Linked DNA regions of Drosophila melanogaster. The protein of the gene in region 1 interacts with the protein of each later gene in a pairwise test. Each region holds a gene or a part of one and is shown on either strand. Other genes may lie near its edges.

Evidence for each region.
Region 2: the proteins of CG14712 (region 1) and M7BP interact in a two-hybrid assay, tested with the Drosophila melanogaster proteins (one large-scale study listed by BioGRID).

The regions. Positions count from the first base shown.
Region 1 is NT_033777.3:11,626,916-11,633,759, forward strand, and holds CG14712 (uncharacterized protein), read left to right. Parts: upstream 1-1,843; 5' UTR 1,844-2,025; coding exon 2,026-2,099; intron 2,100-2,165; coding exon 2,166-2,333; intron 2,334-2,402; coding exon 2,403-2,805; intron 2,806-2,868; coding exon 2,869-6,024; 3' UTR 6,025-6,291; downstream 6,292-6,844. Other genes in the region: CG18764 (uncharacterized protein), read left to right, coding at 79-195, 251-1,137, 1,211-1,321, 1,380-1,494.
Region 2 is NT_033778.4:7,627,142-7,631,855, forward strand, and holds the start of M7BP (Myosin-7a binding protein), read left to right. Parts: upstream 1-1,659; 5' UTR 1,660-1,971; intron 1,972-3,035; 5' UTR 3,036-3,050; coding exon 3,051-3,187; intron 3,188-4,353; exon of another isoform or gene 4,354-4,714.

The DNA.
Region 1 (6,844 bases):
GTTTACAAAACAATTGGTTGTTTATATTCGAATTAAACTGAAGTTGGGCTAAACTTCGGTTGATTTTCAACTAACATTATGGCGCTCCAGTGCCGGACCTGCGGCAGCATCATCTACAATAAAATGCCCAAGAATCTCTTTCATATTGAGAACGAGAAGATGCTGCAAGACATAAATCTTGTCACTGGCACAACAGTATGTAAGAAAAATGGTTTCCATTTGATTTGTGCAGCATTTTCTGTGATTGCAGCTCCACAACGATCCAGAGCTGCCCAGCAGCATATGCGCCTGCTGCACGCTTGACTTGAACCAAGCGATTTTGTTCCGGGAGCGGTGCATCCTAACGCAGAAGCAGCTCGTCCATCGTCGTAGATCTCCCGAAGCGAAGGAACCGGCTGAAGATGTTGAGGAGATGGCATCACCGCCGGATTGTCTGAACGATCCATTCGGGGAAGTCGATGAATACATTGTGGAATCCCCAGAAGAAGTTTTGGATCATGATAGTGATGCTCATCATGATCTGGATGAGGATAATTATATTGATTCTGTTGAAGATGTTGATGCGCTTCAAGATATGGCTGAAGTAGCCGAAGAGGATTCTCAAGATGTCGAATCTCTGATCTCAAGTGTACAGAAAGAACTTGAGAGCATTTGCAACGACGACAGCAACTCGGATAACAACGATTACATGGAGCCCCAAAACGGTTCCTATTTCAATGAAACTATAAACGAATATGAAGTATCATCGAACCCAAACACACCGCTGCCCGAATCGAAGAGTGCAGCAGGTCGGTCAACGAAGCCAGCGACCACAAAACCCAAGCGGAAAAAACAGTACGTTACGTGGAAAAATATGACCGAGGAGCAGATCATAGAGCGTAAGCGACTGCAGCGTAAACGCGAGTGTGTTTGCGAACAGTGCGGCCGGCAATTCACCGACCAAAGCAATTTCAAGCTTCACATGCTGCGGCACACGGGCAATAAGAACTTCGCCTGCCAGCAGTGTGGCAAGCGGTTCTACACCGACCATCTCATGACGCTGCACCAACGAATCATTCACCAGGGCGAGAAGCCATACGACTGCCGCTTTTGCACCAAGTCCTTTCACAATAGCAACACTCGCCTCATCCACGAAAGGTAAGGGACGTATCCTTGTATCCACTACGGATTCGGACATTTCTGAGCTCAAACCAAAAAAAATCCTTTCTAGGACTCACACCAATGCCAAACCCTACAGCTGTCATCATTGCGATAAATGTTTTAAGTCAGCTTCGGGACGCAAGCGGCACGAACTAATCCATACAGGAGTGCGAGCCTTTGCGTGAGTATTTTTTGACTAGGCGTTGGTATTCCAAAATTTAATACAATTCCCTTTGCAGCTGCACCATCTGCAAACAATCCTTCCAGCGCAACACTCACTTAAAGGCCCATCTGCGATCTAAATTTCACACTGCAAAAGCGAAAACCATTGGTGCGGAGGTACTACAATTATAAGCTGATATAGTATTTAAATTAAAAAACAAGTATTAGATATAAGAAATAAAGCAATGTTTTCATTTAATTGGAGTGCAAACATTTAAATTGCGATAAAATTTTATTAACCCGATTTAATAATCGACACATGCTGCAGTGCAGCCCTGCCAATAAGTATCCAAGGTGGCAATCCTGACATATTTCAATATAAATTTGGAGTGAAAATAAGAATTTTTATTCAAGTTTACACGTCTGCCCGAAACTTCCAAATACATTTGACGGAGAAAGTATTAAACATTATTTTTTATCTTTAATCGTTTATTTAGCCAAAGGCTTAAAGATTTTGGTATATTTTGGCGCTTCACCAACGGTCACACAGTAACCATTTCCTATGAAATTCACATTGCATTTCTCTTTAGAATTAATAAAACTAAAAAAAGAAAGAAACGAGATTGCACACAATCGTTTACGACGAAGCTTGATTCACCCGCCAAAAGTGTTCCCCTCCGCCCGACTGCACTGTGAGAATACCGGTTGTTGACCTTCGGCAGCATGGAGCGTCGTCGCTTTAACATGAGCAGCATGTCACCCATGGCGGATTCCACGCGGATTGACGCGTCGCTGTTGTAAGACACCACCTGTCCAACTGGATTCTAAGCGGTTACTAATCAAATTTGCTCTCCTTTGTTCAGAAACAATCGTCCGGCGGCCAGTAATTTCCTGAGGGGACTGAGTCCCAAGGGGTCGAATACCTCGCTCAATGGCACACGCACTCCGGAGCGGTCCTTGATGAATCGCTCTGCCACATCGTCCAGTACCATAACGCGACAGAAACTGAACCTCAGTCAGGTTGATCCCAGGTAAGTCAAAGCTTGTGTGCCATTTCACGATGTGACGAAAGTGCAATATCAAATTTTCATACCTTTCAGAACCTTTGCCGATGTGCATAGCAGCGGACTGTCATCCCGGATCGTGGCCTTAAGCGAACGCAGTGGTCTGCAACGCAGCATGTCCGCCAGCAATCTTTACAATCCCTTGACGCAGCCGCGCAGAGCGCCCGCTTCCCCGTTGCCCTACAAGTCAAGGGCGCCGACGCTTTCGATCACGCAGATTGCACCACCGGAGCGCAGCTTTTATTCCGGAAACACGCTGTCAAGCCTGTTGCGATCCAACTCCTTGGTAGGGTTAGTGCCAAAGACCACCGAACAGGAGCAGCTTTCGAGAGAGAATCGACCCATATTGCACCCACCTCATCCACAGCATGAGAGCGAGCCAACTAGAAGCGTGTTGGAGGAGCTTAAGGAGATCTCCCGAAAGCGCATCAACACTGAAGTAAGTATAAGCCATCAATCATCCTATGAGAAGATCACCGGCTTACACTTGGCTTGCTTTCAGGATACGCAACAGGCTCAAGACTACACGAAAAGGAGTTGCCAGCAAAACGTGGACTTTGTGGACTTTGTGGCTCATCACCGTCAGCAACAGAAACTACGTAATTTGCAGCAACAACAGAATCAGTCCTTTAAAAGGCAACGAGAGCTGACGGTATCGGTTCCGCTCAGGCATCATTCGACATCTTTGTCGGCTGCTTCTCCTGCATTGCAACATATGAACTCGAATGGAACCATCTCCCCAACACAATCTCCGGAGCAGGTAGCCAAACGTCCCAATTGTAGCTACAGCAACGACATCACTTCCTCGCTGAGTTCCAGTTGCCGTCACAGCAACAAGAGGAAGCTGTTGGACATGCGAGAAAGGTTTCAGCACAGCAAAAACGACACACTAGCTAGTGGAGGAAGCTCGCCTGAGAACTCGCCCGAAAATGTTGCCAAAATTCAACGTAAAGTTGATGCAGAAGCTGTTAGCAAGGCAATGAGCATGCCCGTCGTGACTGTGGCGGCAGTTCCTGCTTCACGAGCCATTTCGGCTCCTGCCATTCAAAAGGCAGTTCCGCAGGTGACGGAAAAACCTAAGCTTACACTCTTCAATGCGCGACAATCTCAAACGATAGCGGAACAGCCGCGACCCGATTTGAGTAGCCCGGAAGTAGATGCCGGCGAATATGCAGGCATTCAGTTCGTGAAGCCTAAACAGCAGAATTCCATGCTGGCTGCCAAGAACCCTAGCGTAGAACGCACACACAAGACCAAACTAGCCATTATGCTAAGTGGATTGAAGGGCGAACTGTACCTGGGTGAGCCGGACGAACTAGATGCCCCAGCGCCGAAGTCAGCGCCAGCGCCTGTGACGCTTCCTACTCCCGTCAAACCCATCATCATAGCTCCTGTAACCACATCCACTACGACCGTTACGTCCACCGCAACCATATCAACTTCTGCGCCCAGCAAGCCGATAATACTAAGTAACCAGGTTATAAAGCCAGCAGATGTGCCAAATACGAATAGCACTGGCTCAGTGCCCAAACTTGTGCTTGGTCAGCCTGCGCCGCCCGCTAAAACGGAACAAACACCACCAAAACCCATCGACAAGGTCCCGGCAGCACAAGCAGATATCCCACCCAAGTTTGAGCTATCAACCAAACCCGTTACTCCAGCAACATCATCTCAACCACTAATCAGTTTTGGCACACCAAAATCCACAGCAGCACCATCATTCTCGTTTGGAAGTGCGACCAATACCACTAGTAGCACTATTGCTAATATCACCAATACTACCACATCAAAGCCCATATTCTCGTTCGGACAAACGCCTGCCAATGGTCCCACAGTAGGCGGCCTTTCTGGATTCAAAACTGAAGCTCCAGCAACAACTTCGGTTAGCACAACTAATCCTGGGACACAGGTTACATCAACAACTACTTTCGGAGTGACACCACCCAAAACGACGACTACAGTTGCTCCGACTACAACTGTATCGCTAAATTTCGGCCAGCCGATGCCATCATTTGGAGCAGCAGACACGGGGGTGAAACCGATGTTCTCCTTTGGTAAATCGAACAATTTAAGTTCAGGAACTCCGACAACAAATGGCAGCGATGCAGCTGCCGCCAAGCCTGCTGTATTCAGTTTTGGAGGTAGCACCACTCAGCCCGCTGCAGCTGCACCGACACCGGTATTCGGAAGCCTATCGAAACCCCTAGGCGAAGGTTTTGCATCGCCCGGGGCTAACAAATCCGAGACAACTAAGCCGAGCATTTTTGGCAATTTGGACAACGGACTTGGAAACGCAATGAAGTCATCAACTAATGTAGCAGCCACAACCGCCGCCGAGCTTCCCAAGCCATTTGGCTTCGCAGCTACAACAACCGCTGCTGGCGGAGGATCAACTGCCACAAATCTCTTTTCATTTGGAGGGACGGCCACTTCAAAGGCAGCGGAACCAGCTCCAGCTAGCCAAAAAAACCTTTTTGGACTAAATGCAACCACAACTACGCCCTTTGCATTCGGAGGAGCAGCAGCGGGCGCCGCAGATAAAAGTGAAAATAAGGACAACAAACCAATTGCATTTGCATTTGGTGCAGGTAACAACAGTGCGGTAGCCAACCCAAGTGGAGTATTTAGCTTTGGTGGCACGGACAAGAGTGCACCACCAGCCTTTGGCAGCGGAACAACATCTGTTACATCTGCCACAGCAACACCGACGAACAACACCTTTGGGTTTAGCACGACTCAGAAGCCTGCAACACCAATGTTCGGAAGTGGATCAACGCAACAGTCTTCGACACCGGCAGTGGCAGCCACCAAACCTTTTACACTTGGTGGTGGGGCTCCTACTACACCGTCAGCATCTCCAGCATCTGGAGGATTCTCGTTTTCCGCCGTTGCGACCAAAAATACTACGGCGCCAACAGCAGGAACAAATTTGTTTGGCAGCCCCGCCAGCGCCAGCAAGCCAAGCTTCAACTTTGGAGGAAACACCGCCACCCAGGCGGCGGCAGCAGGATCACCAGCTGGTGGCTTCTCATTCGCCACGACCACCAAGAAGGAGGACTCAGCAAGCACCAATATGTTTGGGAGCCCCAACACCGGAGTGGTGAAGCCTAACTTTAGCTTTTCAAGCAACAATCCAACTCCAGCGCCTACCTTTGGCGGATTCGGTGCTCCAGCAGCGGCTGCACCAACAGCAACTTCAACTAATCAGAGCAAGCCCTTTGCATTTGGGGCTAGCACTCCGGCTGCTGCCCCCCAGCCGCCCTTGGGCGGCAATCTTTTTGCCAACGCAGTGTCTGCTACCCAAAACCAAACAAAGCCGTCAGGAGTCTTCTCATTTGGTGCGGCTAAGAGCACCGCCGGCACCACAGCCGGCAATGCTCCCTTCTCGTTTGGAGGCGCATCTGCTGGCGGAATCGCCTCGCCGCCCAGCAATCAGGGTTTAAATACCGCAAAGCCATTCAGCTTTGGTGGCGCTGGCGGCACTCCAGCCCCGAATGTCTTTGGGAGCCCAGCCCCTGCACCGCCAGCAAGCAATCCAACCGGGGGCTTCAACTTTGGCGGCGTCAGTCCGGCCCAGCAGGCGAATGCCGGCAACATGTTTGCCCCCACACCGGAGAGTCGTCCGATACGAAAGGCCACTAGGCGTCTGCAGAAATAAGTCCGCTTCAGAAGTAGCTTAATATTGTGTTGCTAGTAAAATTATTAATTATACCGAAAAGTGAATGGCTAAAAACAAGTAGTAGGCAGTACGCTTTTTAATATATAAATATTAATCGACTCTGGTTCGTTCTGTGAAATGTAATTGACAGACTTCTTCTTAAATTGTCACTAAATAAAAATAAATAATTTATAACTATTATAAGTAACGCAAAAGCAAATACATGTTATTGAAACGAATATGAAGATTTTCAACGTATCAACGTTCAAACACTTTGAATTTCATTTGGAATATTTTCCCGTGACTGATGAACTAAAAAAGAAACGCAACATTAATTTCATGCTTGTATTCTTTACTTTTATTAAAAGTTTTAGAACTCTCTGCCCTCCTTTAATCACCGCGTTTAAGTTTTGTGTGTTGGTGCATATTTGTGTTGCTTTCTCCAGGGTTTCACTAACGCATAGAACTTTCGTTTACAATGTGGATTGAAGTGTGTTTGTAAAAAAATAATAACTTTAAAATTAATTAAATATATACCATGTGGACGTGGATGTGTGTTTGTGAGGGGGTGTGTGTTGTTGGTGTATTAGGTGTGTTTTACATAAAGTATACTAAAATTATGTGTTAAAGCAAAGTGGCTGCCCTTAAACGAAAATTAAAACGCATAAATGTACAATTTGCTTAAAGGGAACTTTAAAATAGACATTATTTGTTAAGTTAATTAGGGGGTAGGTTTTTAAAAAATAAATTACAATTTTCCTTTGCCTTGCCGCCAGATGCATTGGATGGGTTCGATTAAAGTACAGAGAAGGAGATTCCT
Region 2 (4,714 bases), on another chromosome or scaffold:
TCACCCACCAGCAGCTGCGCGATAGATTAAGGTGAGTGCCAGATTTTCAATCTTCTGAAGCATTCATTCGATCCAATTTAATATCAGAGGGCATATACATATATATTTATTTCCATCATTCAATTCGATGTTTTCAATTTGATTGACAACAACTTGAAGCTGTGGAAGTTGGACTGTGCCATGTGGCCAGAACGGAAGCCACAGGCAGCTGGGGGATTGGCCTGAGCCGACTTGGGTGCGCATGGAGCCCACAATCTTACGGCAAACTGCTCTGGGTGTATGCATCTGCATTTCGCAGACTGCAGGCGGATATCAATTTATGCAAATTTGCCGGCCTCAAAATGGAAATGACAAAATCTCGGGTGCAGTTAGTCAGTTAGTCAGTCACTCAGCCATGTCATTCGTACAGCCAGAAATCTTTCCGTGAGCAGTCGGAGTCTTCTGGGAACTCTTTTTTAGACAATTGTCATGGAGAAACCCGCTGCCTCTGACCACCGAGCTTTCGAATGAGTTTGCAATTTGGTTGGGAAACTGTGGCGGGGAAGTTCCATTAGAATGATAATGAGGACCAACCCAGTTCGGCGATTGTAATTGGAAAACCTCTTTGAACTATATTGTTGTCTGTTTTCAGTGTGAGGAAAGATACACTTTATAGTTGGATAATTATGCTACATAAACTTATATAACTATGTTATTGATAGAGAAACAAGTTGGAGTCTCTTCATTGTTTTTTTTTTATAATATTTCAGGATAGAGTTTTATAGAATTATAAATACGAATAGAGCATTCCGGAATCGACTGGTTAGATTGTGGAGCACCCAAATGTATGGCCCATTCCATGATAATTTCGTTTTCCACACGAGCTTCGATGCCCGAGGAGCGGAGTGGCAATCTTATCGAATGTTTCATAATTAAGTTGATTAATGGCAATTAATTGCCGTAAGCTTTGCATGCCCAATGGCAGGGCCAATCGATTTCGTAGGTTTTTCTTTTGGCCACAAACTCTTGCCACCATCCTCCAAGCGGCGGACATGTGACTGGCAGCTGCCAAGTGGCATATGCAATTGCATTTGCATAAGGTCCGTTGGACAACGTGGAATGCCAGAGAATAGTGGACGGGGTGGGTGGGTCATAAGTGTCCATATTTCTGCGGCTCAATGGGGATTTACCCGCCAACACCCACCCACCCCCACCCCCTCAGTTGCATGGCCAACAAAGCTCTGACCCAGTGCGCCAATAAGGGCCAGTTCCAATTTGGTTACTCGCCCGCAACGCACACAAATCCTAAAAAAAAACCACAAAAAATTTAAAAAAAAATTTAAAACCCTGGAAACATTTGGCCGTAGATTCAACACAATTGGAAAGAGTGTACACCCGTTTGTGACCTCACACCCGAAATAGTCTTGACACTTATCTGCGACTTTTTCGTCGCATACCGAGATATATATATTTATATATCTCTGGACGCGAGCGGAACTCTTATCAAATCAACGGTCGGTCGGTCGGTCGGTCGGTCGGCTATATACGCGATCCGCCATAACGAAGTGGGCAAACAAAATCCAATATAATGCCCATATACCCCAGTTATATATTGTGCAAAAAAGTAAACAAAACCGAATTCAACTTGGCTAAAACAAACCTGTCGCCGCTCCACTCGCAGTCGGAGTCAGCTGCTCCAATCGCCAAGTTAACTTAACTTGAAGATCGTTGGCACGGGGGGCCCTTATCCACGTGATCCTAATCAGTTTGTTGTATGTTTTGTTTCAATTTGTGCGTCATGCAGTCGGGATTGTTAACGCTGTCGACGGTTTGGGCTTTTTGAAGATGGAGCAAGGTGATCGGCGGGCGGGCGATGGCAATTAGCGGACTGAGTTCGTGTGGCAAGCACCTGAGAAACATATTGCCCGAAAAGTGATTGATAATCGTCGTTCGTAACTGCAAACAGAAATAACAAGACAAGCGAAATTTGTGGTAATTATTTATTCAGATATTTCGCCAGTGAAGTTCATTTCGGTTCAGTGGGAAGATTCCACTCCCAAAATATTACAAAAAAACCAAACAAATTTATAAATAAAACCCACATCTTTAATGCCAACTGAAGTGAATAGCACGATAATTAAAATACATCATTCTTAGAACCACACACACACACAACTGATGCTATAATTTTTGTAAATAAAAAAATGCAAAACCAAAGGAGATTATGCAACTGCCAACTTCTATAGAAGATCTCGATGAAAAAAAGCAAAAATGTCGATAGGAGCTTTGCAAAAAAACACATACAGACATTTATCAAGTTTAATTAGTGCTAATCGCAATGTGCAAAAATAAACACAAAGGAAAACACTTAGGCAATTAAATTAACGTATAAATAACTGCTAGTACGTGATTCGAACTGCAGACAAAGTTTTTTCTAAACTTCTCTCAAGTGATTGCATCTAAACTACGAGATTTGCATACTTAAATGAATAATGTTCTTTAAGTGATTTATGACAACAATTTCATTTATCCTTCTTTGCATTATGCTGAAAATTATTTATCACTAATGGTCACGACTTCAAATGTGACCAATTGCACTGAGTTGTACCTAAAAATATTTATTTACGTGATATTTTCGCTGGGAACTAATTGTATTACTGGTTTACCAATTTTCTATTCAACTTAATAACCGAAACTTAAATGCCCTGCTCAGGGTATATTTACCCATACAACTTCATGTCGAAATCTAGGCAATTTAAATCGAACAAACAAAACTTTTGATAAGGCTAAGGCCAAAGTATGTATTGGCCGAAAACCACGTAAAATGTCCACAAAGAGATGATAGCCGCAAATGAAGAATGTTCGGCTCTGATAAGTAGTAAAAAATAGTTTGGTGTAGTATTGTTCCGGATATTTCATTGATTCAGTATAGTTAGGGTTTTCAATCGAGGTGGAATTAAATCAGAGCTGCTTCCGATAAGTGTGTGTGTGCGTGTGCTTCTGATGCAAATGCCGCGAAATCGATAGCGTAATTGAATTCAATGCGAACTCCGCAGTGCCTGAAGCGCTGGATGCGCCCCTACATCTGCCTCATGGAGCTGCCAATCAACCGACCTGGAAGCGGGAACCTGCTGCTGGGACTCACCTCCGTGGTGGGTCTCATTGGAGGCGCCTATCTGCTGCAGTGTGGCGCCCAGCAGCTCTTGGGGTGAGTTAATCAAATGGGAGATAAATCAAAATATAGCATCCGATGGATACAAGTTCGACTACGTGAGCTAAGCTCCGCATCCGCACGTGCACTTTGTATGCTGCAGATACAAATGCAGCGCGAGATAAATCCGAATAGAAACTGAAACTAAACTTTCTTGACTGCAACTTCAACCCGGTTACGTGGCCATCGTTTCGCATGAGTTGATTGCGTTTGCGTGTGGGAAATGGCCGAGCTGAAGAGATTTGACATAATTGTTGCCATTTCTCCAGTCGCCGTTTTCCACCAGCTACCATTTGCCATTTGTTACTTGCCCCGTCGACCGGGATGGCGATGCAACTGCTCACTTTGGGCATCGAGTGCGTAGCGTCGCCTTAATTAAGGATTGCGCAATCTCCGCCACCTGCCTCCAATTTATGCAGCACCTGTTGTGTCTCGGCGATGGCCTGCCGGTCCGTTAGACGTTTCATAACATTGCCAGTCCAGACCCAGACGAGCTGTCATTGACTCTTCGCGAATCCGTCCACAAGAACGATAGAACCTCGAAGAATGGCCAGCGGAAGTCGTTGGCCAACAAAGGGCACAACTTTCCACCGCCCACCCGCCGCCAGCTGCTTTTTCCTTAAAAAGCGTCACAAATTGGCAATAACAATTGGCCATGGCTAACAACGCCCCTCAATTGTTGGCCTTTCGTCACCTTTTCAATGGCATCTTAATTAGCCGCTTTGTTGACAGCATTATTTGTATTATTATAGCGACGGCAGTTACACATCATTTTTCAGTGTATTAGGGTAATATGCGTATCGAAACTATAAGGCTCTGAGTAATGCATATCTTTGAGGCACAATTTCTTTATATATTTAAGCAAGGAAAAGATTAAAAACATAAACAGAATAATAAAGTTTATATGAGTACCATTTTCTACATACGAGCTTTCAGTTCGCTTATAATTCACTTATTAATTTCCGGGTCTTAAAGACGACATTTTATGAACGACATTCTATGAAGCCAAACGAGTTGTGGAACTGTGGAAAGTCAGCCAAATGCAATTAACTCTGGCCGATGGCAGAGTTTAGATATGCACAGAAATTCTGGGTTTTATTCGCCATTAAAGTGAGAAGAAACCAGTTATCTTGGCCTTGTGGCAAGTGAAAAGCCGCAAAACGAAATATTTTTAGTGCTTTCAAAACCAATTGTGAGAACAATAACAAGTTGTGGAAAATGTTTAAACTAATGCGATATTATTTACTTACTATTGAGCAGTATTGTTTTCGAGTTTGCTTATGGTTAAGGCTGTTGAAAATCGTTTTCTACGTAATAAAGCATGCTTTTAGGCATATGAGTTTTATTTGAATTTAAATAAATTTAAGATTTGGCCAGGTGAATTAAGATATTCAAGATAATTCATGAATCCATTTAGATACGGTCAATGATGATCTCACGAAAGCCGGATAGTAAACTCGGAGATAATCAAAAGATTATTACACTCATATCAATAAAACAATTTACGATGCCACTTGCTCGCTT